Tamandua tetradactyla: one gene and its partners. The main gene of each other region encodes a partner of the protein of the gene in region 2 in a complex. Links are inferred from orthologs where the notes say so. Each region holds a gene or a part of one and is shown on either strand. Other genes may lie near its edges.

What was found.
Region 1: the proteins of GNA13 (region 2) and S1PR2 are in contact, whole or in part, in a cryo-EM structure (PDB 7T6B), measured with the Homo sapiens proteins. The link is inferred for Tamandua tetradactyla from reciprocal best matches to the Homo sapiens genes GNA13 and S1PR2. Residues at the interface, in NP_006563.2 of Homo sapiens: Arg47, Val216, Phe359, Lys363, Asp364, Ile366, Leu367, His368, Asp369, Asn370, Leu371, Gln373, Leu374, Met375, Leu376, Gln377; in NP_004221.3 of Homo sapiens: Ser66, Met68, Tyr69, Leu72, Arg130, Ala133, Ile134, Lys136, Val137, Lys138, Leu139, Tyr140, Tyr209, Ile212, Val216, Ser219, Gln227, Thr228, Leu231, Leu232, Val235, Tyr288.
Region 3: the proteins of GNA13 (region 2) and GPR35 are in contact, whole or in part, in a cryo-EM structure (PDB 8H8J), measured with the Homo sapiens proteins. The link is inferred for Tamandua tetradactyla from reciprocal best matches to the Homo sapiens genes GNA13 and GPR35. Residues at the interface, in NP_006563.2 of Homo sapiens: Lys46, Arg47, Leu48, Val49, Lys214, Asn215, Val216, Phe218, Arg331, Gln337, Gln338, Lys340, Pro341, Leu342, Tyr343, Phe359, Arg360, Asp361, Lys363, Asp364, Ile366, Leu367, His368, Asn370, Leu371, Lys372, Gln373, Leu374, Met375, Leu376; in NP_005292.2 of Homo sapiens: Phe45, Gln51, Thr53, Thr55, Met59, Asp113, Arg114, Ala117, Val118, Pro121, Leu122, Arg123, Arg125, Arg128, Ala197, Leu198, Arg201, Pro202, Thr204, Asp205, Gly207, Gln208, Ala211, Ala215, Met218, Val219, Ala280, Lys281, Glu282.

The regions. Positions count from the first base shown.
Region 1 is NC_135337.1:91,527,478-91,534,508, reverse strand, and holds the start of S1PR2 (sphingosine 1-phosphate receptor 2), read right to left. Parts: upstream 3,017-7,031; 5' UTR 2,952-3,016; intron 445-2,951; exon of another isoform or gene 1-444. UniProt on the Homo sapiens protein: Receptor for the lysosphingolipid sphingosine 1-phosphate (S1P). S1P is a bioactive lysophospholipid that elicits diverse physiological effects on most types of cells and tissues.
Region 2 is NC_135332.1:8,914,282-8,921,812, reverse strand, and holds the start of GNA13 (guanine nucleotide-binding protein subunit alpha-13), read right to left. Parts: upstream 3,014-7,531; 5' UTR 2,797-3,013; coding exon 2,514-2,796; intron 1-2,513. UniProt on the Homo sapiens protein: Guanine nucleotide-binding proteins (G proteins) are involved as modulators or transducers in various transmembrane signaling systems.
Region 3 is NC_135329.1:217,652,380-217,659,875, forward strand, and holds the start of GPR35 (G-protein coupled receptor 35), read left to right. Parts: upstream 1-4,480; 5' UTR 4,481-6,418; intron 6,419-7,496. Other genes in the region: CAPN10 (calpain-10), read left to right, coding at 22-188, 466-731, 1,490-1,692, 1,818-2,550. UniProt on the Homo sapiens protein: G-protein coupled receptor that binds to several ligands including the tryptophan metabolite kynurenic acid (KYNA), lysophosphatidic acid (LPA) or 5-hydroxyindoleacetic acid (5-HIAA) with high affinity, leading to rapid and transient activation of numerous intracellular signaling pathways.

The sequences.
Region 1 (7,031 bases), on a different chromosome or scaffold from region 2:
GTTCCCCCGGCGGACAGGGCCCCGGGCGCCCCGATGCCCTCTGCCCGCCGCGGCCGACCCAGGGGGCTGACTCCGTCCAGTGCGCGCGGCCTCTTCCGGCAGGCGGTCGAGGCCGGAAACAGCCCGCGCCTTGATTGGCTCATTTTCAATCCCAGGGCACTGAGCGGCTCGCCTATTGGCCTGAGCTCGCCATCCTCGGCATCTGATTGGCCCCGTTGGGGGCGCTTCTGCGGTTAGAACCGGAGCGGGTAGTTCACAGGCGGCCGGGGTAGGAGTCAAGACTGTGCGGTCGTAGCCGGAGAGCTGGAGCCGCAGCCTGACCGCTGGGTCACCCCGACCAGACGCCCCCGGGCTGGCCTGGCCTGCCGGCGCAATTGGGAATTAAGGTCCCTGTCGCAGGCCTGGGAACCATGCTTGCTGGTGGGCGAGAAGCCCAGGGCGTGCTGCCGCTTTCCAGGGCTCACGTGGGGACGGGCACCCTCCTCCGCTCTGGCGGCCTGGAGAAAGATTTATGATCGTTTTCTGGGGCCTTAAGAAATGGGTTCAGCCCTCACACCCCAGGACTGACCCAAAAAAACCTGTCTTCTCTGGGGGAAGGGGACACACAGAGGGCACCGCGGTCCCACCTTCGAGGGGGAGGGGCAGCTCTAGCAATCAGAAAAGGGGAAACTGAGGCCAACAGCGCCTCCTGGGTCGCATCCTTTCCACTTGGCCTTACTAGAGGAAAACATACAAGGCCAGCAGTCTTGCTTCTCAGAAAGAGGATGCAAGGGCGGAGACCGGGGCTTACAGGAATTACACCCAGGCGGATAGAGACCTTGCCCGCTTCCCCATCCCAGGGTCCGTGTCCCAGGCCTGTCCTCTGAGCGCCTTCCCAAAGCTGGCCTGACCCTCCCAGAGACTCAGGAAGAGGTCGAAGGGCTCAGAACGGGAGATCGAAGGGCCAGGCCTGAAATGACAGGACAAGTGACAAGATCCGGAGGGAAAGGAAGGGACATAGGACTGTGGGGTAGAAGAGTAGACAAGAGGAAGGCGGGAGGACGGTTCGGTGGCTTCCAGCCTCCCCCGCAGCCCGCCAGCCCTCCAGTTCCACATAGACAGACCCTGTGGTTGCAGCTCCCTTGGGGTCCCCACCGACCCCGCGGCCCCTGCCCTAGGGAAGTCCCCACCCTCTCTTTTGGTTTCCCTCCTGAGGTCAGCCCCCCCCCCCAACATGCTGTTCTCCACGCAGCAGCCAGGGGGAGCTTTATAATTTATAAATTCAGTATGTCACTGCCCAGGTCCGAATTCTTCCATGGCTCCCTGCAGCCCCGAATGCTGGGCTCCTCCCCGCCTGGTCTCCTCCCCCTCCCCTCTCCCCAACCACTGCCGATTACTCCTCTCCACCTAGATGCGGCACGCATTCCTCCCTCAGATGTCCTTAATCTTCAGGTTCCTGTTTAAATGTCACTTTCTCAGGGTCGCCCCTCCCCCCGCCCCCGACTAGGGGTCTAGAGTGGGGGCCTTTTCCCCGGGCCTTCTTCTAGCACAGCAACTTGCTTTTTTTTATCTTCACAGCTCTTGCCACTATCGGAAATTATCATGGTATCTCTTTTCTCTCTGGCTGCCTCGGTAGAAATGTGTGTGCCGGGAGACCAGCCACCAAGGCCTTCCGGTGCTCAGATGGCGCTCAGAGAATGAATGAATGAATGAATGAGTGGATGGATGGATGGGTGGATGGATGGATGGATGGATGGATGGATGAGGGGACCCCGGTGGACCCCCCGAGGGGGGAGGCCCCTAGCACAGCCCCCGCCCAAAGTCACAGCAGAGGAGGTCGACCTGCCTCTGGGACTCGCGCTCGCAGCCCACCCTACCCCCAGCGGGTGAAGCCCGGCGCGTCTCCATGGAGACAGCAGCAGGCCCCGCCCCCGCCCTGGGCCGCCCTCTCGGCCTCCCTTATCTGCCCAAGGAATGCGCGGTATCCACACTCGCTGGCTCTAAGGCCGCGGCTCCCCTCTCCCGCCACGGCCACACGCGCAGGATCCCCACGCCTCCTGGTGGAGCTGGGGGTGGACGTCTCCTCTCCGCCAGGGCCCCGGCCTCGAGATTTCCTTTCCCGGCTGGGGAAAGGGAGACCCAAGCGGCCGCAGCCCCTCGAGTGCCGCGCCCGCGTCACGCGACGGTGGGGCCCGTGGACTCAGCGCGTGGCTCCCGGAGCCTCTGATAAGGGCAGAAACGGGGGAGGAGGGTGGAAATCCCCGGGTGAATCAGCCCGTGCCGGAGGAGGGGGCGAGCTGAGGGCGCTCCGTCGGGCCCGCGAACACGCCGGATCCGCGGCACGCGCGGCCTGCACCCAAGCCTCATCCCCGGGGTCTGGGGGAAGGAGGAGGCGCCGGAGCCAAGCAGTCACGCTGCCTTGTCTTCTAGAGCAAAGCCACGCCCTCGCAGGAGGGACTGGAGGAGGCGGACAGTGTGAGGAAACTGAGGCAGAGAGGTGGACGTGCAGGCGGTGGGCGCCCGCCCTCCCCGCGGATCCAGCCCCTCGACTCCACCGCTCCGCGACGCGCATCACCTTTCGCCCTCGCCCAGCCCGGGTCAGCCAGGAGGGGCGCTCTACGGCCCCCCCAACACACCCCAAATTCCCGGTCCCCGGCCGCCCTGTCCCCCCTCGCAGCGTCTCGGGCCGAAAGTACAAGAATTCCGCCTTCTCCTTGGCGCCAACTTCCTGCCGCTGGGGGAGGCGGGGAGCGCAGCCTGGGGGTTCGCGGCCGACAGAGTGGGCGCAGCCTGGAGTCATGGAGAGGGCGCCCGGGCACCACCCGCTGCGTGCAGCCGCAGCACGGGCTGCATGGGTGCTCCCTGGTGCAACAGGACCCCCAGCCGGACCCCCCCCCCAGCTCGGATCCCGCGACCTCAGGAGCCGGGGGCCCGCCCTTTCTGCCTCCCTCCGCCTTGCCCCGCGCACTCACCTGGCTAGGCCGGCCCGGGGCCCTGCCCTGGCCGGAGGGGCCTCGGCGTCCGCGTGCCCGGGACGGACGCGCCTGGGGCTGAGGCTGCCAGCCGCGCTGGGCTGCGTCCCGGGGCTGGGGACCGGGGACGGAGGCGGGACGCGGACAGCCGCTGTCTCGGCTCCCCTCTCGCCCCGCCCTCCTCTCCTCCCCTTTCCGGCGGCGGCTGCAATGAATTCCAGATGTGGCCGGCCGGCCGGGGCGCGCGCGCGGGAGACGAGTGGGGCGGTGCGAGGAGCCCCTTTGTCCGCCCCCCCCGCCCGGCCCCCACCCGTGAGAACCCACTGCATGTGACGTCACGCACTCCAGTGACGTCACGGCGCCCCTGGCCAGGTGGCCTTAACCTGAAACGACCTGTCTTCAGCTCCAGGTGTACACTTGGCCCATCCCTGCGACCCTAGAACTGGAGATCCCGGGATCCCCTTTATTTGGTCGACAAGAAGTCACGATGCACCCATGTGTCAGTGCAGCAAGTAGCTTTAAGTGCCTACTGTGTGGCTGTCCAGCAAATGATCAAAGGTGCTACTAGGTGTCACACCTTATCTCAAATGCAGAATTGGTCTTTGCCTTGACATGCCCCGGAGAGCTCAGGCGCTGCACCCTGCCCCCAGGACATTTGGGAAACCCCAGCAATTTACCCTGCCTCTCCTTACAGCACTATCCCACCTTGCTGTGGTCGACCAGCAGGCCCAGGCTGCACATGGCCTTCCAAATTGGGGTTCACTCTTCCTCCTGATACTCTAGCTTCCCCCTGCTTCCCTCATTCAACTTTTTCTGGTCACATCTGTACATCAGGCTGCTGAATCAAAGCGCGTCTTCATTTACTGATGCTTGTGTACCTGTGTGTGTGCATGTGTGTGTGTATGAAACCCGTGGCCAGACGACAGGATAAAAAGTCCCTCATTCCTTTTGACAAATTGTTTTATGGAACACTTCTTGGTTGTCATGTATTGTTCCAGGAGCCAGAGCACAAGGGTGGATAAAATAGGAAGAAAAAAAATCACCAAAGGGTGAATACTACTTACTGTACCCTATGGATTTTACAATAGTGTAGTTATAACAACATTGGCTCATCGGTTGGAACAAAATGTCACACCAAAGCAAAATGTTATTAGTATTTTAACATTTATGGGAGGGGGTTATATGGGAATTCTGAACTTTCTGTGTGATTTTTCTGTAAACCGACAACGGCTCTGAAAACTGGTATCTATAGAAAAAAGAGGCTCGCGGAAATTATGCTATCACTTGCGAAAATGAATACAGAGCGTGCTTCTTTATTTAAGGAATGTTCTGTATGCTGGAGTCAATGGGGAAACAAAATGGACAAAGCTCCCTGCCCCCATGGAGCTAATGTTTTCTTGTATGTGCACAGAGCATCCAGAAGATTCCAGGAGGAATCTCATCAGGTTTTGCCTCCTGGGATAAGGATTGAATGACAAGGGATAGATGGGGGATAAGAGTGAGGTTGATTTCACTCTTTGAACCCTTTTGTTCCCTTTTGACTTTTGTAACATGTGTATACTTGTCCTGTTGCAACAATAAATTAAAACGTCTAAGCTGCCTCATCTGGAGCAGTACAACCGATTCAAAGGAGGGCCCGTTTTGTGCACTCTTGTGCATGTATCTTATCTTTCAATAAAGACTGTCCAAAAAGCAAAATGACAGAAAAGGGAAATAAAATGGATCCACATATGTCTGTTAAACAGTAAAAATAGACTCATCTTGTAAGCACGTACACATGTCTTTAGTTGAGAGAAGCACAGGGCACCTCAGTGTGAGCTGCTTGCCTGCGTTTCTGAGCGTATTTATAAAAACCGTATAAATACACACATATTTGCCTGTGCATTCATCTCTGGTAGGTGACACAAAATACCGGTTACAGCTGTTGCCCTCAGGAGGGCAGACTGGGGGACCAGGTGGGGGTTGGGAGATAGACTTTTTAACGGTGCACGCTAAGGAGCTGTTTGGAAATTTTATCCCACGCTACCAATTCAAAATATGTACCAAGACGTGCAAAATCACAAGTAGCACATGACTGGCCTTCAAGTTGTAAACTAGTCCCCGTAAGAATAATAATTAATAACATCAATAATATTCCTAAGAAATAGTATTGTTGATAAACATATCAACGTTATTACCCAACATGTGGACATTAATGAACACGTGTGCATTAAAAATAAATATATTTAAATTATTAAATTAAATTAAATTATTAAAAATAAATATATTTAAATTATTAGTAAAGATAATGATGTTAAGCAACATAGGAGTGCATTTGATAAACACGGTTTATCAAGTGGTGATCGTGCAATGGATTCTATCACAGGCTGAGAGTATCGTGGAGGAGCCAGAGAAGAAAGCTGCAAGGTAGAGAGGCTTTCACGGGGGAATAAAGAAAATCAGAGGGTGACCGGCTGCAACTCCGGACACCCCGCCTTTTCCTGAGCCAGGCTTCAGGATCCACTTCAGTCTGATCTTGGGGATACAGCCAGCTGAGGGCTGTATCTGGGGTCTGCTCCAGCTTTAGCCAGACCTTGCTGCATCTTCTGCTGATTGAGATGCGTTGCCTTGACAATCTCAAGAAACCAGGTGTCTCACCCACAAAGGACCAGGCGCAAAAAAAAAGAACTGGGTCCTCTCCTCGCTGGGGAGCTATCGGAGCGGAAATCTCGGGGGGGAGGAAGTGCTCCCCCCCAACTTCCCCACGCACACACTCTCGCCTTGGCTGGCTCAGCAGTTTGCAGTTTCTCCAGGGACCGTGGTTGGGGAAGGAGGGGGGTGATATCAAGGCCACAGACATATCCGGCCGTCTGCCAGAGGGACTGTGGACTCCAGACAAAGGTGATGTCCCCAGGGACACCCAGAAACACCGACAGGCCACTTCCACCTCCCTCCTATTTCTGGGGCAGCAAGGGGTCACGACTGGGTCAGCGGTGGGGAAAGAGCTGGAGAACTGGAAAACAGGAGGCCTGGACTTCCTGAGGGCCTGGGGGCAGCAGAGAGGGGTCAGGAAGAGAACTGGGCCCTGCCTTGGGGAGCCCCCGGGTGAGGGAGCAGTGGGAGAGGAAGGAAACGGCGCCCTCTTCTTCGGGAGCTCCCGGGCAGAGGAATGACACCCCATTTGAAGGATGAGGAAACTGAGGCACAGAGCTCAGGTGAGATTCGAACTAGCACTGTTTGGGCCCTCTCCACCCAGCCACGCTCTTGTTCAAGCTAAGCCCCCACCCCGGCCCCCCAGCCTCTAGGCAGTGGCACCCCCCTCCACATGCATCCTTCCCTCAGGGGGTCAGGACAAAGGACCGTGGTGGGTGCACGGGTGGCTCAGTGGTAGAATGCTCCCCTGCCCTGCAGGAGACCAGGTTCAATTCCCAAACCACACACACACACACACACACACACACACACACACACACACACACAAAAGTAGAACAATGGGGAGCGCAAAGGACCACCTGGGTCCATGATGACATGTGGAACCTCTACTCTCCGATTCCGTCTCATCCCCAAATTCTGTGAGCACCCCCAAATCAAAGGAGCCCCAGGTCTGTCGTCATCCTGCCCGGGCCTCCATGAACCCCCCTCCAGCCCCCACCAGGTCTCGGCGTTTGGCAGGAGGAACTGCAGGAGGAGAAGTATCTGAGCCGAGTCCCTGTGCTTGGGGAAAAGGGGCCCCAGGGCTGCCGAGAAGCTTTCCAGATGCTGCGCTTGGCAGGCCCTGAACAGCAGCCGCCTCTGCAGGCCCCGGGCTCGGGGCCCACTTTCAGCTACAGGGACGGGGTGGGGAGGCCGGTCATGCCACGTCTCCACCCCAAGCCTTGGGGTCCCTCAGGCCCGGGAGGGGTGGGGGGGAGTGGGGAAGGCAGAGGACGCCGTCCTTTCTGCAAACCCTCCCCAGCATAATAATTTTAACAGCTGCAGGTACTGTGCTAAGAGCTTTTGCACACAGCGCAACCAGAGCTCACAGCTAATGGGCACGGAGTTTCCATCTGGGGCAATGGAAAAGTTTTGGTACCGATGGCGGTGAGGCTTGCACAACCCAAA
Region 2 (7,531 bases):
ACAACTGCTCTTTTGAAGGATTTTAACATGTTTTAATTTATAAAACTTAAGATTTCTGGGGTAGAAGGTGATCACAAGGGAACTAAAACCAAGGAAGGAAAAAAATAAATACTGCCGGGCCTGGTGTTCAGGCTCTTAAGAAAAAGGCTACAACCAGAATTTTATGAGCCTAACCAAAAAGACATTTATTTATGAAATGCCAAGGACCCAATCATTATCACTCTGCATTCTATTTGTTCCCTCAGCACCCTGTCTACCGCAACACTGTGTCTGCTGGGAACAGAAAAAACTCAGAAACTTCTCCCAAATCAAACTTCAAAATACTGTACATCACAGAATGGTCTTTGGAATCTCTGAAAGGAAGACTCAACTACAAAATGAGATAAAAATAGGGACTGCAACTCACTGAGGTTTGTTCAAACCCAAAAGTCAATCACTAAACTGTTACTTATTTGTCCATCTTCACAGTCACATGCCTATTGGAAACCATTTTTTGGGTATCTAGAAAACTATTTTTCTGTCAATTTTCTGATTATGCCAACTCAACAAAACTAGGTGCCTTCATCACCAATGCTCAAAATCCAATGCTCATTAAGGAACCAGTTATTTACCTGGCTCTAGATCAGTTAACATGTTGACTCTGCTCATTAGCATAATTCCTTAAATTCAGCTGCACCAGGATACAAAGATACCTTCAATTAAGGAGTGGTAAGGCAGACAGTCTGTGGCCTTGAAAGAAACCTTAACTAGTCTTGTGCTAAACTTTAAGCAGGGTTAAAGAGAACTGCTCTCACAGTGGTCTGTACACTTTCATGCTCCTCCCCATTCAGGGAGTTCTTCTTTACTAAACCCTTGGAGAAAAAAAATGACATGAAGGAGTTGCTTAAGTACTTCTTGAACATCCCACTTAAAAATTTTTAAAAAACCGTTTCAAGGCAGGCCATGGTAGCTCAGCAGGCAGAGTTCTCACCTGCCATGTTGGAGACGGAGACGGGGGTTGGATTCCCAGTGCCTGCCCATGCGGAGGGGGGTGGGGACCACAAAATGTTTGAAAAGCCCCCAAATCTGTGGCAAACTCCTAGATAAATGATACTCAGATAAAAGAGAAGCCTGATGCGCCTTAAGTACCAAGCTCTGTGACTCAGTTTTGTCCTAATGCTTTTTATGCAGAAAATATGTGATTCTAAGAAAAATGAATGCTAATTATTTTCAAATGGCAAAAGAAAAACATTCTTCCCTAATTCTCTTAAGTCCAGAATTAAAAATTTTGTGCCTTTTCCACTTAAGGACAAATTTTAACTTTTTAATTAAAAAGATACAGTCAAACAGAAGCAGAACCTGTAACCCAACCTGAGACTGATCTTAATTTAGTGACTCAACCTGTACAGAATCCACATCCCTTTTTCTAGGCCAAAGACTCTTTTTTGGGGGAGCAGATAAAACTTTAATATCACCCAAACGTTAATTTCTAATCCTTATTATATAAAAATATTAGACCTTCAAGTCTACTATAAATATTAACTAATACTTAGATAATATATAAAATATATAAAATAACAACAGTCTTCATTTTATATAAGAAGCATGATCAGTCTCTTTTCTTACTTTTCAACCCTACTTATCAAACCAAAACGGGTTCACAGCAAGGGCATCTTAGGCCAAAGATTCTTAATATTATCACTCAATTTCACTTAATTAGGAGAAGCAATTGATGGTACACTCCCCACTTCCCCCCACTTAACAAAAAACCAGTGTGGAACGTGTAGCACAGTGACTATGGGCAAACATCCTGCCCGACCGTGACAATGCGGCGAAAAACCACGGATGTTAATTTTTCAGAGGTAACCGTATGGATCTACCCTTTCCTGAATCGAACACAGAGAAAATGACACCCTTAAGTATCAAATGCTTTTCCAAAAGAGACCGACTGGCTGTCACCCTTCGCCCTTGACAAGAGACTCGGATAAAAGTTTTCTTCTTGCAACGGTTCCAGAAGTCCCGTGGCTCAGAAGGCGGCCTAGGCAGCCGGGGGTTGGGCGCAGACCCGGCCCATGTGACTCGGTCACCCACCCCGCGCAGCGAAGTTTGCGCTGCAGGACCTGCGGGGGTAGGGGCGGGGTGGGGGGGGGGGTAGGGTCTCATGCCGGCTCTCGGGTCTTCCAGCCTCATCTGGAGGGAGGAAGGCAGACGAGGTCACCATGCACCCTGAGACACCCGCTCGCCTGACTCTCCTCTAGGAGGGAGCAAAGCTAGCGGCGGGATGGGGGGGGAACGGGTCGTGACCCCCACAGGGGCAGCAAGGGGGAAAGCGGGACGCCCCCCGGGGATCCCCTCACCTGGAGGCGAAGGAGTCCCGGGTGGACACGACTGGTACCCGGGGCGCGCCCCCTCCCCGCCCGGGCCAATCCTGCGCTAGGGACCGAGCGGGAGAGGGCGGTGGCCGGCCCCGCGCAGACCGCCGCCGACCTCAGGCTCGGCCCTCAGTCCCCGGCCCCCGACCCCCGGCCCGGCACCTTTGATCACGTTGCTGTAGATGGTGGGGCGGAACTCCTCGCGCGCGCGCTGGTCGAAGTCCTGCCCGTGGATGATCCGCATCTGCTTGAGGAAGGTGGACTTGCCGCTCTCGCCCGCGCCCAGCAGCAGAATCTTCACGAGCCGCTTTACGTAGGTCTTCTCCCGGGACAGGCATTTGTCGATCTCCTTGGACTTGCGCTGCTGCTCGGCCTCGCCGCTCGTCAGCACGCAGCCTGGGAAGCACACGGACAGCACGGACCGCGACGGCAGGAAGTCCGCCATCTTGCCGCCGCCGCCGCCGCGGCCGCCTCGGCGGGCCCCTCCGGCTCCCTCCACCTCCTCTTCGGGCGGCGGGCGGCTCCGGCACGGCGGCTGGAGGGCGGAGAGCGCTGCGGCGGCCCGAGCGCACCCGGGGAGGGGAGAACGAGCAAAGTGATTCGTAGGGCGGGCCAGGCAGGGAGAGGGCCGGGTGAGCCGGGGAGGGAGGGCAGGAGGGCGGGCCCGGGAGGGGCGGTGGCCCCGGGGCGTACGCGCGCTCGCTGTCTCCCGGAGACGCGCACGCACGCTGCTGCCTCTTTCCCGCACCCTGACCGAGACGTATGAGTCACGCGCTCGCTGGCTGGCTCTCTCGCGTGCCTGCGGCCGCCGCCCGGCGCGCGCGCGGAGGCCGGGAGCTGCTGTCACGTGGCATCCGGCTGGGCCGGGCGGCTTGGGGCCCTGCGTGCGCCTGCAGAGCACGACTTTCTGTTTCCCTTTAATTAACTGCGTGCACTTAGGGGCCGAAGGGTTCCTCCCCCGAGGCCAGGCGGCCGGGGCCTGGTCACTGCCTTTTGGGCTCCCCCTTCTCTTCAGCCATCTCCGCCGCCCTTTCTTTCGGTTACGTGCCCACCGCCTGCTGTCACCGTTCCCATGCCTTTTTCGAGGATACTGACTCAAAAAAATTACCCAAACGGCGGGCGAACACACCTGGAAGTCTTGGGGGTACTTTTTTTCCCCCGCGGCTCAGTTGACATGCTGCTCTCGCAAGCTCAGAACCATAACCAGAAGTCGTGTTTATTCCATCCTCTCCTCCCACCCCACACCCCCGCACCCCTGCAGGTCTTTGTGGCATTCTCAGACCTCTGTACGGGCCCTCCTTTAAGGAGGAAGAGCTGGAGTTGGTGTTAATGTGAGAGGCGTTCGGAGACGTGTCACTGGTGTGGGTTCCGAGCTGCGCCCCGACTGCGGGCGCGCCGGCCGCGCGGGAAGCTGGACGGCGGCGGAGGGTGAGGTCATGGTGAAAATCCCCCTAAACCGGACACTGTCCTGCGGGCGCTTCCGACGAGGAAACAGATAAGCAAACAGACGGAGGACAGGAGCAGGCACTTCGTAGGTTTCCTGCTAGATTACAGAGGATGTGACCAGCCAAGGGGCTTTTCTGTCCCAGCAGATTCGGAGCAGGACACCTGAAAGGACTGCTGGGGAATGAACCTGGCGAGTGACAGCTGGGCTGGAAGAGCGACTCACCTAGCGAGGACCCTGGAAGCCGATTCTTACTGTTTAGTTTCAAGTGGGAAAAGCCGTTTTACTCTGCCTCTGCTTTTGGCAGCGCAACGCAGTGCTCCTTGGTTTGGGTTCCTGTAACAGGGGAGCTTCCTGTGTGTTAGGGCGGTGGGGGGAGATGAGAGGTGAGCGTGCAGAGAGGCTCGCGAGCACGTGTAATTAAAAAATAGGTGCTGATCATTTACTCCTGGGGTTGGGTTAATTACTGAGATGCCTCGTGACTCAGTAAACTAGCTGCTGTGAACAATGCTGGTAGTAGAATGATCTCTGGTTGTCCTGACCAACCCCAGAGGGTGGACGGTTTACGATATGCAGTCACCGCCTTCTTCTGCAGGTTGATAGGGTCAGAATCCCTGGGCAGTGCAATACCCTACACGGGGTGGAGCTCTTTCTAGGCTCCAGAAGGCCTGTTCTCCAACCAGGAAGGGCCTAACGTGTCGCCCCTGACCAGCACAGAGTCAGCCCCCAGGCACCATTCCTGCTTGGACTACAGGTGCAAATCTGGAGTCTTCTTCAGCTGAGACAGGAGGAGGGAAGCCTATACATTAGATACACTTTTTTTTTTTTAATGTGTGCTATGTAATGAAGAACAAAGAGTACCTAGCAGGCAGGAGGTATTCCTGCCCAGCCAAGTCATGTTGTGACAGGTAGAGTAACAAAGAAAGCTGTTCAAAGCCCTGATTGTAGTCTTCCCATGGAACAAGCCTGACTGCCCTATTGGTTTGTTTCTGAAAAAGAGACCTCTTTGGGCCCAGCCTGGGCTTTGGCTTCAGCTGTCCGACTGCCTCTTAACTAACTGTCTGGTGATATTGATACCTTGGAAATTTTGAAAATAAAAATGAGTTAGGGAGTTGGCAGTTCCTCAAAAAGTTCAACATGGAATTACCATAGGACCCCACAATTCCATTTCTAGGTATATACCCTAAGGAATTGAAAACAGTTGTTCGAACAAAAACGTGTACACAAAAAAATGTGTATAAGAAAAAAAGCGTACGTGAAACACTTTTTGCAGTCGCCAAAGGGAGAAACAACCTAGTTGCCCATCAGTAAAGGAATGAATGGGAAAACAAAATGTGGTATATCCATATAATAGAATATTATTCAGCCATAAAAAAAGCAATGAAGTTCTGATACATGGGCTACATGGGTGAACCTGGAAGACATGTTAAGTGAAAGCAACCAAACACAGAAGGCCACACAGTGTATGATTCCATTTATATAAAATGTTGAGAATAGGCATTTCATAGAGACATAAAGCACATTCACATTTGCCAGGTGCTGGGGTTGAGGGGAGAATTGAGAGTGACTGCCCGATAGATACAAAATTTCCTTTTGGGGTGATGAGAGTGTCCTGGAATTAGTGATGTTGGCTGCACAACATTGTGAACATACTAAATGCCACACAATTGTGCACTTTAAAATGGTTAAAAAGGTGAATTTTGTGTGATGGGAATTTTACCCCAATAAAAGAGTGTTTGAGAACAAATAAATATATTCCATAAAAGAAAAGTCATCGGCATCATTTAACGTTGGAATACATACTATGTGCAACTTCAAAGAGTGAAAGTTCCATTGTGTTTATTTTAAAAATAACACTAATAATTGTTTGCGCCAGAAGCAAATCTACTGTAGCAGTCACTGCAAGTTACAATATAATATTAGTGACATTTTAATTTTCAGATAGATTTGTTTCATCACTGAAGAAAAATCCAGATTTTTAAATGGTGTGTAGAATCTATGGGTTATAATTGAATATACTGGGCACTATATTTCCAATAGACCCAGATGTTAATTCATTAGAATTATTGTTTCTATATTGTTTCTAATGAATATTATTTATAACATATAAATTTATAAACATATAAATGGTTAGTCAATTTATATGCAGATGAGATATTCAGATGCCCTGTGGAGGTGTGAAAAAATTCCTCCTGGAATGGGTGGTTAATTGCAGGGCTCTTCTTCCAGGAAACACAAAGGCTAGTGGCACTCAGTTTTGCAAGAGAAACATTGGAAGGTATGACTATAAATACATTTCCAAGCAGCTTTCTCCTTTAATGTTGTCACCTTATGAAGGCGCAAGCCCTTTCCAACAATGCTTTCAATTCTTGAAACCCATTGGTCATTCTTTTCAGTTCTAAGGTGGAGTCTTCTTCAGCTAAGACGGGAGGAGGGAAGTCTATACATTAGGTAAATATCTTTTTACTGAAAGAAAAACATTCTTCCTACCATATAGTCATAGCTTATTTTCAATTTTAAAAAGTGACATTATGGAACTTATTTACCAACCCTCGTGCTAAATAACTTGGGCTGTTTACAAAAATCAGAATTAGCCACGAAAGACAAAAATCTGTCACCCTCAGACATATTCAGAATAATGTGCCAGAGGCTCTAGGAAGGATTCCAAAAGAGAAGTTTAAAAATATCTGAATGATGAGAAATAGAATTTAAATAAGTGTTTCACTTGCCAAGATGACTTGGAATGGGACAACACCCATTTAGATATGTTTATTTAAAAATCAGTCACATTATTTGATGATTAAACCTTGTGTTAATTTTCTAATAAAAATAATGACACATCCAGCATTCGTATTACGCCACTCTCTTCTGTCTCATCATTAACATAAAATAGGTGGATTCTAGTCCTTTCTTACTGATAAAATAGGCATGAACCTCATCCTTTCTTCCCTTCTAGGAAAGTAAGGGAATTCCCTGGCCCTCTCATAATATAAATCCCTTACATTAGTGTAATGTTAATAAAACAAAGCACTTTGGCCTACTTTCCTCATTCTCTGCTCACAATAGCCCCACGAGGAATTGTAAGCTTTAGACTCGCTCCCTTTTGACACACAAGGAAGGTAAAGAGGAGTTTAAACATCTTACTCAAAGCTTTACTTACCAATAGCAGAGTGAGGACTGGAACCCCCACCTCTTGACTCTGAGTCAAGTGATCTTTCTGATATACCAGTATGGCCAGAATGCCCAGGTGTTAAAAGTTCAAACTTGAGACGCAAGTAGCTAACCCTGTGTAAGCACGAGGCAGCATAGAGTCCAGCAGTTGTGTTTGTTTCTTTTTGTGTCGGTTATTCCATCTCCTTTTGGGGTGAACACCACCTCGGGGCTCACACCAGTCCTTAGGCTGATCCTGGGAAGATATTGAGTACTTTGAGCTTAGCCTCTGGGTTGTAAAATGTTCCCAGGTGGCTGATAAAGAACTGAGAAGAGAGGAATCCCACTCTGGCAATATATACATGATATGCAAGTCCCATACGTTCTCTTTAATGTGACTTAAGTTTGAAAAGGCAACCCTTTTTTTTTGTAATGAAATCTGGGGGTGCTCTTACCAGAATAAGTCTTTCATGTGGAGCGTTTCGGATGAAACTAGACATGTGGAATTGAATTGTCGGTGGTTTTTTGTTGTTGTTAATAATGGAAAACATGACTTTAATTGCTGGTTGTATTTTTCTCAGCCTCT
Region 3 (7,496 bases), on a different chromosome or scaffold from region 2:
TTGAGCCCAGGCTCCCTCCAGGGGTGAAGGGTGGAGCCAGGTAGACCCGGCGGAGAAGCTGCAGCTGCTTTCCCAGCTCCAGGACGGGGAGTTCTGGGTCGAGGAGGCAGAGTTCCTCAGGGAGTTTGATGAGGTCACCGTTGGCTGTCTTGTCACAGAGGCTGGCCACCTGCTGAGCCTCCACACAGGTAACAGGCCGGACCCTTGATGCAGGACACTACTCCCGAGCCAGGTGGCCTTCGGGTCGGGGGTCAGACCTGGGGCTCCCCCTCTTACAGCAGGGGCAGTGCTTGCCCTGGCCCCGTTTTGCTTTTCATCCAGCCTCTTTCCCACCCCGGGCTGCTTGAGGAGGTGGGGAGCACGGGGCCCATCTGTTGTGTTTCCACCCCTTTCCCCGCGCACAGAGGGATGGTGCCGGTGTAGAGCTGTGGCCCAGAGCCCACCTGCCTTGTGTTTCTGCACTAGCAAAGGTGTTATGCCATACTCAGACGCTGCCTGGGGCCTGGATCCGCGGGCATTCGGCAGGAGGTTGCCGGAACAACAGCAGTTTTCCCAGCAACCCCAAGTTCTGGCTGCGGGTCTCAGAACCCAGCGAGGTGTGCATCGCCCTCCTGCAGAGACCTGGGGTGCGCCCAGCTGACTACACCCCCATGGGAGACGACCGTGCAGCTCAGAGCCACTTCAGGGCCCTGGGCAAGGACTACCGGGCCGTGGGCCTACACGTCTGGAAGGTAACTTGGCCGGGCTGGCACCCCCTCGCGGGATGAGGGCGAGGACGCCCAGTGTTGGGGTTCAGATGCCTGTCACTCCCTGCACAGTGTCAGTGTAGCATGACAGGAGCTGTCTACCCGGGGACCAGACCCCTGCCTGGGAGCAGAAGAGATGGGGGCAGGACAGCGGTTCTGCCTCCAGGGATTTTCCCCCAGCCCTGAGCTTCCTCTGCAGCCCCTGTGTCCTCGCCTACGCAGCAGGGCTGGTAACCAGCCTGGTTGTTTGCAGGATGAGTTAATAGGGCAGGATGCTTCCATTGCAACCTGGGCCCTCAGCAAGAGCTGCTGGAGGCGCCCACCCAGCTCTGCTCTGCGAGGGCCAGAGCTCTAAGTTTGGGGCAGGTGTGGGCCCCCATTGTGGGCTGCTTGGTTTTTAACCTCACAAATCCTCATGGGTCTCATGGCCCACGGCAGTGCTTACCCGTAGTGGGTGCGACCTGGCAGTGTTCCCTTCCTCTGGCTAAGGGAGTACCAGAGTGTCCTTTGCCCAGCAGCCCATTTGCACAGCCGCAAGTTCCTTTTGGGTACAGCTCATCTTGTCCCTCCATTTCCTTCCTGGGCGGGCATCTGACGGGACTGCGTGGCTGGTCCTTGAGAGGATAGGTCATGGGGCTGGCAGGCCGGGCACCCTGCTCCATTCCCTCGTTTGGCGAGAGACCCTTCGGCTCCAGCAGCATGCCAAGATCACCCCTCTGCTGACCCCTCCCTGCCTCCCTCAGGTGGAGGGGCAGCGCATAAGCCTGCCCAGGGTCCTGTCCACGCCTCCCGTGGCCGGCACCAGCTGCCACGCATATGACCGCGAGGTCTGCCTCCGCTGTGAGCTCTCTCCAGGCTTCTACCTGGTCGTCCCCAGCACCTTCCTGAAGGACATGCCTGGCCAGTTTCTTCTCCGGGTGTTTTCTACTGGCAGGGTCTCCCTCAGGTGAGGAACAGGAGGCTCCCTGAGGCATGTGGGGGGTCTGCTTTGCCCACGCCTGTGACACGTGATCATATGGGCCACCCACCACCGGCTGCCCCCAAAACTTCTGTTGCTTTCTCCCCTGGCAGTGCCATCAAGCCAGCGCCCGGGAGCCCTGTGTCCCAGCAGCTGCGCCCTGCCGGAGAGTGGGAGACCGTGCGGCTGCAGGGCTGCTGGAGAGTCGGCCAGAGTGCGGGGGGCAGCAGGAACTTTGCCTCCTACTCCACCAACCCTTGGCTCCCCCTCTCTGTCCCTGAGGGTGTGGGATCGCGCTGTGTCCGCATCACTCTGCACCAGCACTGCCCAGACAGCGAGTGGCGCCCCATCGGCTTCCACATCTTCCAGGCAGGCTGCACAGTGGGTGGCTCATGTGGGGGCTTCCTGGGTGTCTGGATGTTGAGGCCACCTGTCCGCGTGCTGGTCTGGACATCAGGAAGTGGATGTACGGCTGTGCCAGCCCTCACCGTGGATGAAGTGTGGTCGTGGGCAGGTCTCCTGGGTGACTGGGGAGAGAGCCAGGACAGGGCTATGCTATTCCCTGGTCCTTCTTGCCCTGGCGGTATCTCGGGAGATGGCAGAGCCTTGGACTCTAGTTTGGGCGCTGTGACTTGGTTGGCCATCATCCCTGGGTGTCATGAGGCCTGGCTCAGAGCAGCTGTTTCCACAGCCTATTGTTCTCTCAGAACCTCCGAGGTTGGAGAACAGGCTGGCTCTGAGGGCTGCTGCAGCAGAGCTCTGGGTGGAGATCCTGGCAGGAGACCTGCCATGAAGGAGTTGAAGAGACCACCCCAGGCAGCACTTAGGGGGCCGACCAGGCCCTAGAGCCCCCATGCAGTCCCAGCCTCCAGGCGGGAAGCTCATGTGGGGCTTCAGCAACCTGCCTGTGGCGGGGGAGACAAGCGGGGTGGGTCCCACAGAAACTCTAGGGCTAGGTGGCTTAACTGTCTTCCTGTCAATCTAGAATGGGAGCCTATCCCTAAGTACCCTGGAGTGTACCCGTGGAGAAGTGGGTGTGGGCATCCTGGGCGGCAGATGTGGCAGAGGGTGTCCTGTGCCCTTTGGTGGGCAGGGCTGCTGCCTTAGCGAGCCACCCAGCAACCTCCTAGAACCTGCTTCCCTCCCCGGGCTGTTTGTCAGGGTCCAGGTGAATCTTCTCTGGGCATTAGTGGGTTTTCCAACTAAAGCCCCTGGTGATTCATTGGTGTAGCCAGGTTGGGAAGAGTGCCCAGTCTGCCAGGGTCTTGGTGGCCCTCAGGAGGTATGGCGTGGGGGCAGGGACTAAGCCTCCTGAGAGCCAAGCAGGCAGGGCCAAGCTGCCACTAACTAGAAGGGGAACCCCAGCTAGGAGCTGGGACAAGTGTCCTCTGCTTGGGCTGCTTTGGAGCCTAAGCGGGAACCCTGAGGTTCTGTGGCAGAGGAGGGCTCTGTATCTCTGCCATGGCCCATCAGCCCTGTGCCTGGACTGCAGACACTGGGCAGCCTGCCCCCGCTTAGCCCCTGCCTCTCCCTAGGTTCCAGGCAGTGGCCAGGACAAGCCCTCCCTGCTGTGCCAGGAGCCGCTGCTTAGCTGTGTGCCACATCGCCACGCCCAGGAAGTGAGCCAGCTGTGCCACCTGTCAGCGGGCACCTATGGGATTGTGCCCTCCACTTACTTGCCTGACATGGAGGGAGCCTTCACGGTCACCATAGCAACCAGGATAGACAGGTGGCCTCTGAGGCTGAAGAGGGCAGGGGCTGTTGGCACCCTAGACACGGCTCCCACCTTCCCCTCCCCTCCCCCTGCCTGGGACACCCTGTGGGGCCTGGCTGAGCCGTGGGCAGTGAACCTAGTGTGCGGTGGGGCTGGGAGTGCTGCCCTGTGGGTGTGGGGGAGGTGCCAAGGGGCCCCAGGACTGTGGGGTGACTGTGGGGCCCTTTCCCATAGGCCGTCCATTCAGAGCCGGGAGAGACTGGGCCAACTCCTTCAGGAGGTAGGTGGGGGCCCGGGAGGCTGGCCCAGTCGCCTGCCCTGGGGGCACCAGGAGCTGCCTTCAGGCCCGGGAGGTGGGAAGAGGGCATCACGCCCCCCACTGCCCTTGGGAAGGAGCAGACACAGCTGCTGCCCAGCACTCCCACTCCCCACTTTCCTCTCACAGGCTTCCTTTAGGGCTGTGATGCAAACCTAAGGGGAGGACCAGCTCGGTGATGGGGGACCAGACCGGGCAGCTACCGTGCCCTGGCATAGCAGTTCCTGGACAGCTTGGACCCATGGCCACCTCTGCCCACTGCCAGCCAGGCTAACCCTCTCCTCCACTGGGCAGCTGCAGTGCCTGATGATGCCAAGCAGAGCGCCCTTTGGGGAACAGTGGGTCTTGTCCTGCAAGGGGAGGCAGCCCCTGGGCTGCTCAGAATTGCCTGGAGTCAGGCAGGTGCTGTGAGGAGGGCAGGAGACCCTCATGTACACAGACAGCAGACATGCCGGGTCCCCTGTGCCTAGCACTTGAGAGCACCCACCCCTCTCCTGCATCATCATGTCAGTTCCAGCAGAGGCCTCACTCCCCTAAGCGTGCATTGCAGCACATCTTGTAAAACTTGAACTTACTGTTACTTGAGGCATTTCTAAGATGTAATTTTATAAACACGTGATCTCTGGGCAGCTCACAGGTGATTTGTTTTCAAGTAACCCTGAGAGGTGCAGCAACCCTGCTGTTTCTGAGCTGGGGCTCTGGGAGGGGAGGTTGGGGGTAGGGGGCTCTCAAAGGGTGAGGGGCAGTGGGGTGCCAAGACAGAGGTGCTGCCTGGGTCTGCGGAGTAAAGGGCCGTCCTGGTCACATGCAGGACACACCCAGGAGCTGACAGCTGGAGGGCAGCCTGTTGTCCAGTACGCTTGTCACCAGCACCCCTGTCCTTCCTGTATCTGGGCAGATGACAGCTGTGGTCACTCTGGTGAGAGGACTTGGCCTGAGGCTCCTGGGAGAGGTCAGCCCACAGAGCTGTGCTGCCCTTGGGGCCCTGGAGTCCCTGGCACATGACCCCTGCAGCGAGCCCTTTCAGGAGCTGGGCTTAGGGGACCAGGGGCCACTGAGTTCTCTTCCCTGCCTCAGAGCCCCTTCTGGAAGTGGGCTTTTCACCAGACACCCTGCTGAACCCAACTGTCCCGGTGCATCTCCCGTTGCCCAGCTGATGGGCCAGGCTGGGGACCCACTGCAGGCACCTGGGGAGGGCGGCCAGAACACGGGGGCTGCTCTGGTCCCCATGCCCCATCCTGGAGAGGCCTCTGGGGCTGCACTCGAGTTGTGGCCCTTGCACTTCCTGTCTGTTAAGTCTGAAAGCGTCTGTCTGTCCGTCCCTTAAGCCATCATCTGTCAGTAAGAATCAGCTTCTATCCACTTTTTCTCTGCAAGGCAGTTGAATAGTAAAACATTGCTCCCCCTGGGACAGGGCTTCCCTACCCCAGCACCTCTCTCACACACACACACCCAGGGCCAGGCAGCTGGAACCCTAGAATCCTCTGGTCCAAGGCTGGGCCCACCTCAACATCCTGTTCCTGGGCTTTTCCCTGGTGTCCTGGCCCCGGATGTGCCTGCCGGGTGGGGGCTGCTCGGCCCAGCTCTGTCAAGGAGGAAACCACAGTGGTCCAGGCAGGAACCCTGTCCTGGTGACACTCTTGGGGCCTTAGAAACCTCTGGCTTCCACCTACCCCCTCCTGCCAGACCGAAGCCCAGGCCCATTTGGGATGGCCAGGTGAAACTCAGGTTGCACATTACGGGTTGCCCCGCAGGCTTGGGGCACCAGGACCAGCTGCCATCCCCTCCTCGTGCTGACCAGCCCCACTCTGGGATCCCCCCCCCCCCCAGCCTGGCTCAGGGGCCCATGAATGGCACCAGTCTGAGGCTCCATGGCAGGGGCCACACCCTGGCCCAGGGGTGGGGGTAGAGCTTTGCAAATCCAGTGGTAGTGCACAACGCTGGGCCCACTGGGGCTGCTGGCAGGTCTCCGGCCAGGCAGATGTGGTTGTGGGCAGGCGAGCACACCTCCCGTCCTCCCACCTTTCCCAACTTTCCTGCAGACTCTGCCCCCGCCAGCATGCAGGTTCCCTCCCAGTGTCACTTCCTGCTTCAGGTGCTGCAAGTGCCTGCTCCACCCTCTCTGATTGGGGGCAGCCTTGGGACAGAGCTCCTGAGGTGAGTCTGGAGGGCAGGTGGACATGGCAGGGGGTGGAGGAGGGGCAGTGGTTCTGGGCAGGAGGCCCTGGCCAGAGCCATGGTGGGTGTTCCCGGCTCTGCACCCTCCCATGCCTCCCTGCGCACTTAGCGGCCCACCTTGGGAGCTGCTCCCGCCTCTTTCTCCTGCCTGCCCCCCTGGCTTTGCTCTTGTTTTTTACCAGCCTTAATCTTTACCAAAGTTAACCTAGCTGTGTGGCCTTTTGACATATTTTATTCCCGGACCCTCCAACATGAGGCCCAGGGGAGGCAGCTGCTTGGGAGGGTCGTGAGGTCTTTTCTTGTCTGGAGGGGGCAGCAGGAGGCTCCTGCCTGCCAGAGGTGCTGGGAAGGCGCTCAACCCGCAGCCATCAGACCGTCCACGCTGGGACGCTCTGGCCGTTTCTTCTGATTCCCAACAAGGACAGGCCATGTCCACCCAGATGGCGCCTCCGCGGCTGGGCTGGGGACCAAGGCCTGCTCGGGACCGCGCCGGAGGCTCAGTCCCGGTACGTGCAGGGATCCCTGCAGCGTGGGCCCCACCCACAGGGCACAGGGCCAAGCCGGCCCCTTCCTTGGCACCTACACGAGTCGGCCGCGAGGCAAGGGTGCTGGGTGGGGAGCAGGCTGCTGGAGGACCCCATCAGGGCTGGTGCTGTCTCCGACTCCGGGTGGTGTCTGTGCATCGTGCAATGTCTCTGTGTCCAGCCGGCCCCAGTGAGAAGACAGCCTGGGGCTGCTGATCACCCCCCCAATGCTAGAGACGCTGGGTAAGCGCTGGGGGTGGGGCACTGCACGCGGCCTTAGGATTGTCCTCTGCACGTGGGTCGTCTTGACGGCCTTGACAGTGGGGTGGCGAACAAGCTGGTGGCTGCCAGGGACGGGACCACCCCAGAAGCACACCTGGGCTCCTTCAGGTGGGGGCCTCTGGGGGGGGCCAGGCACACTGAACCTGGAGAGGCAGCAGAGGCTGTGGCCATAGGGGCGTTTGGGCCATATCTCCCGGGCAGAGCCTCGCATGGTATTTCTGGAACTCTCCCTGCTGAAGTCTTGGGGTACCTCGGGGATCCACCAGGAAGGCGGCTGCCGCCATCGGGCATAGGCGGGGGCGGGAAACCGGGGAAGAGGCGCTGCTGGGGGGCAGACTTCCCCTAGCCCCAGGGCGCACCTCTCCGGCTGGTAGGTCTCTGCTGTTCCCCTCAGTGTTTTGCAGCTTCTAGCATGCATGTTTTGCATGTTTTCTTAAGTAGCTTGTTTTTTGATGGCTTTGTAGTTACAATTCTTTCCAACATTTGTTCCTTGCTGGCACATAGAAATGCAATTGCGGGTGGGTTGGTGGTTTTGTTTTTGTTTTGTTTTATTTTTGATACATTAACCTTGTATCCTGTAACCTTGGTAAATTCAATTATTAGTTCAAATAATTCCTTAGGATTTATAACATATATGATTATGTCATTGAGAAAATAGAATTCAACTTCTTCCTTTCCTATATAAATGTGTTTTTTCTCTTTTTTTGCCTTATTTCCACTTCAACACTGTTTTGGATTGAAGCGGCAGGAGTGACTGGCAGCCCCTTGCCCCCAGCAT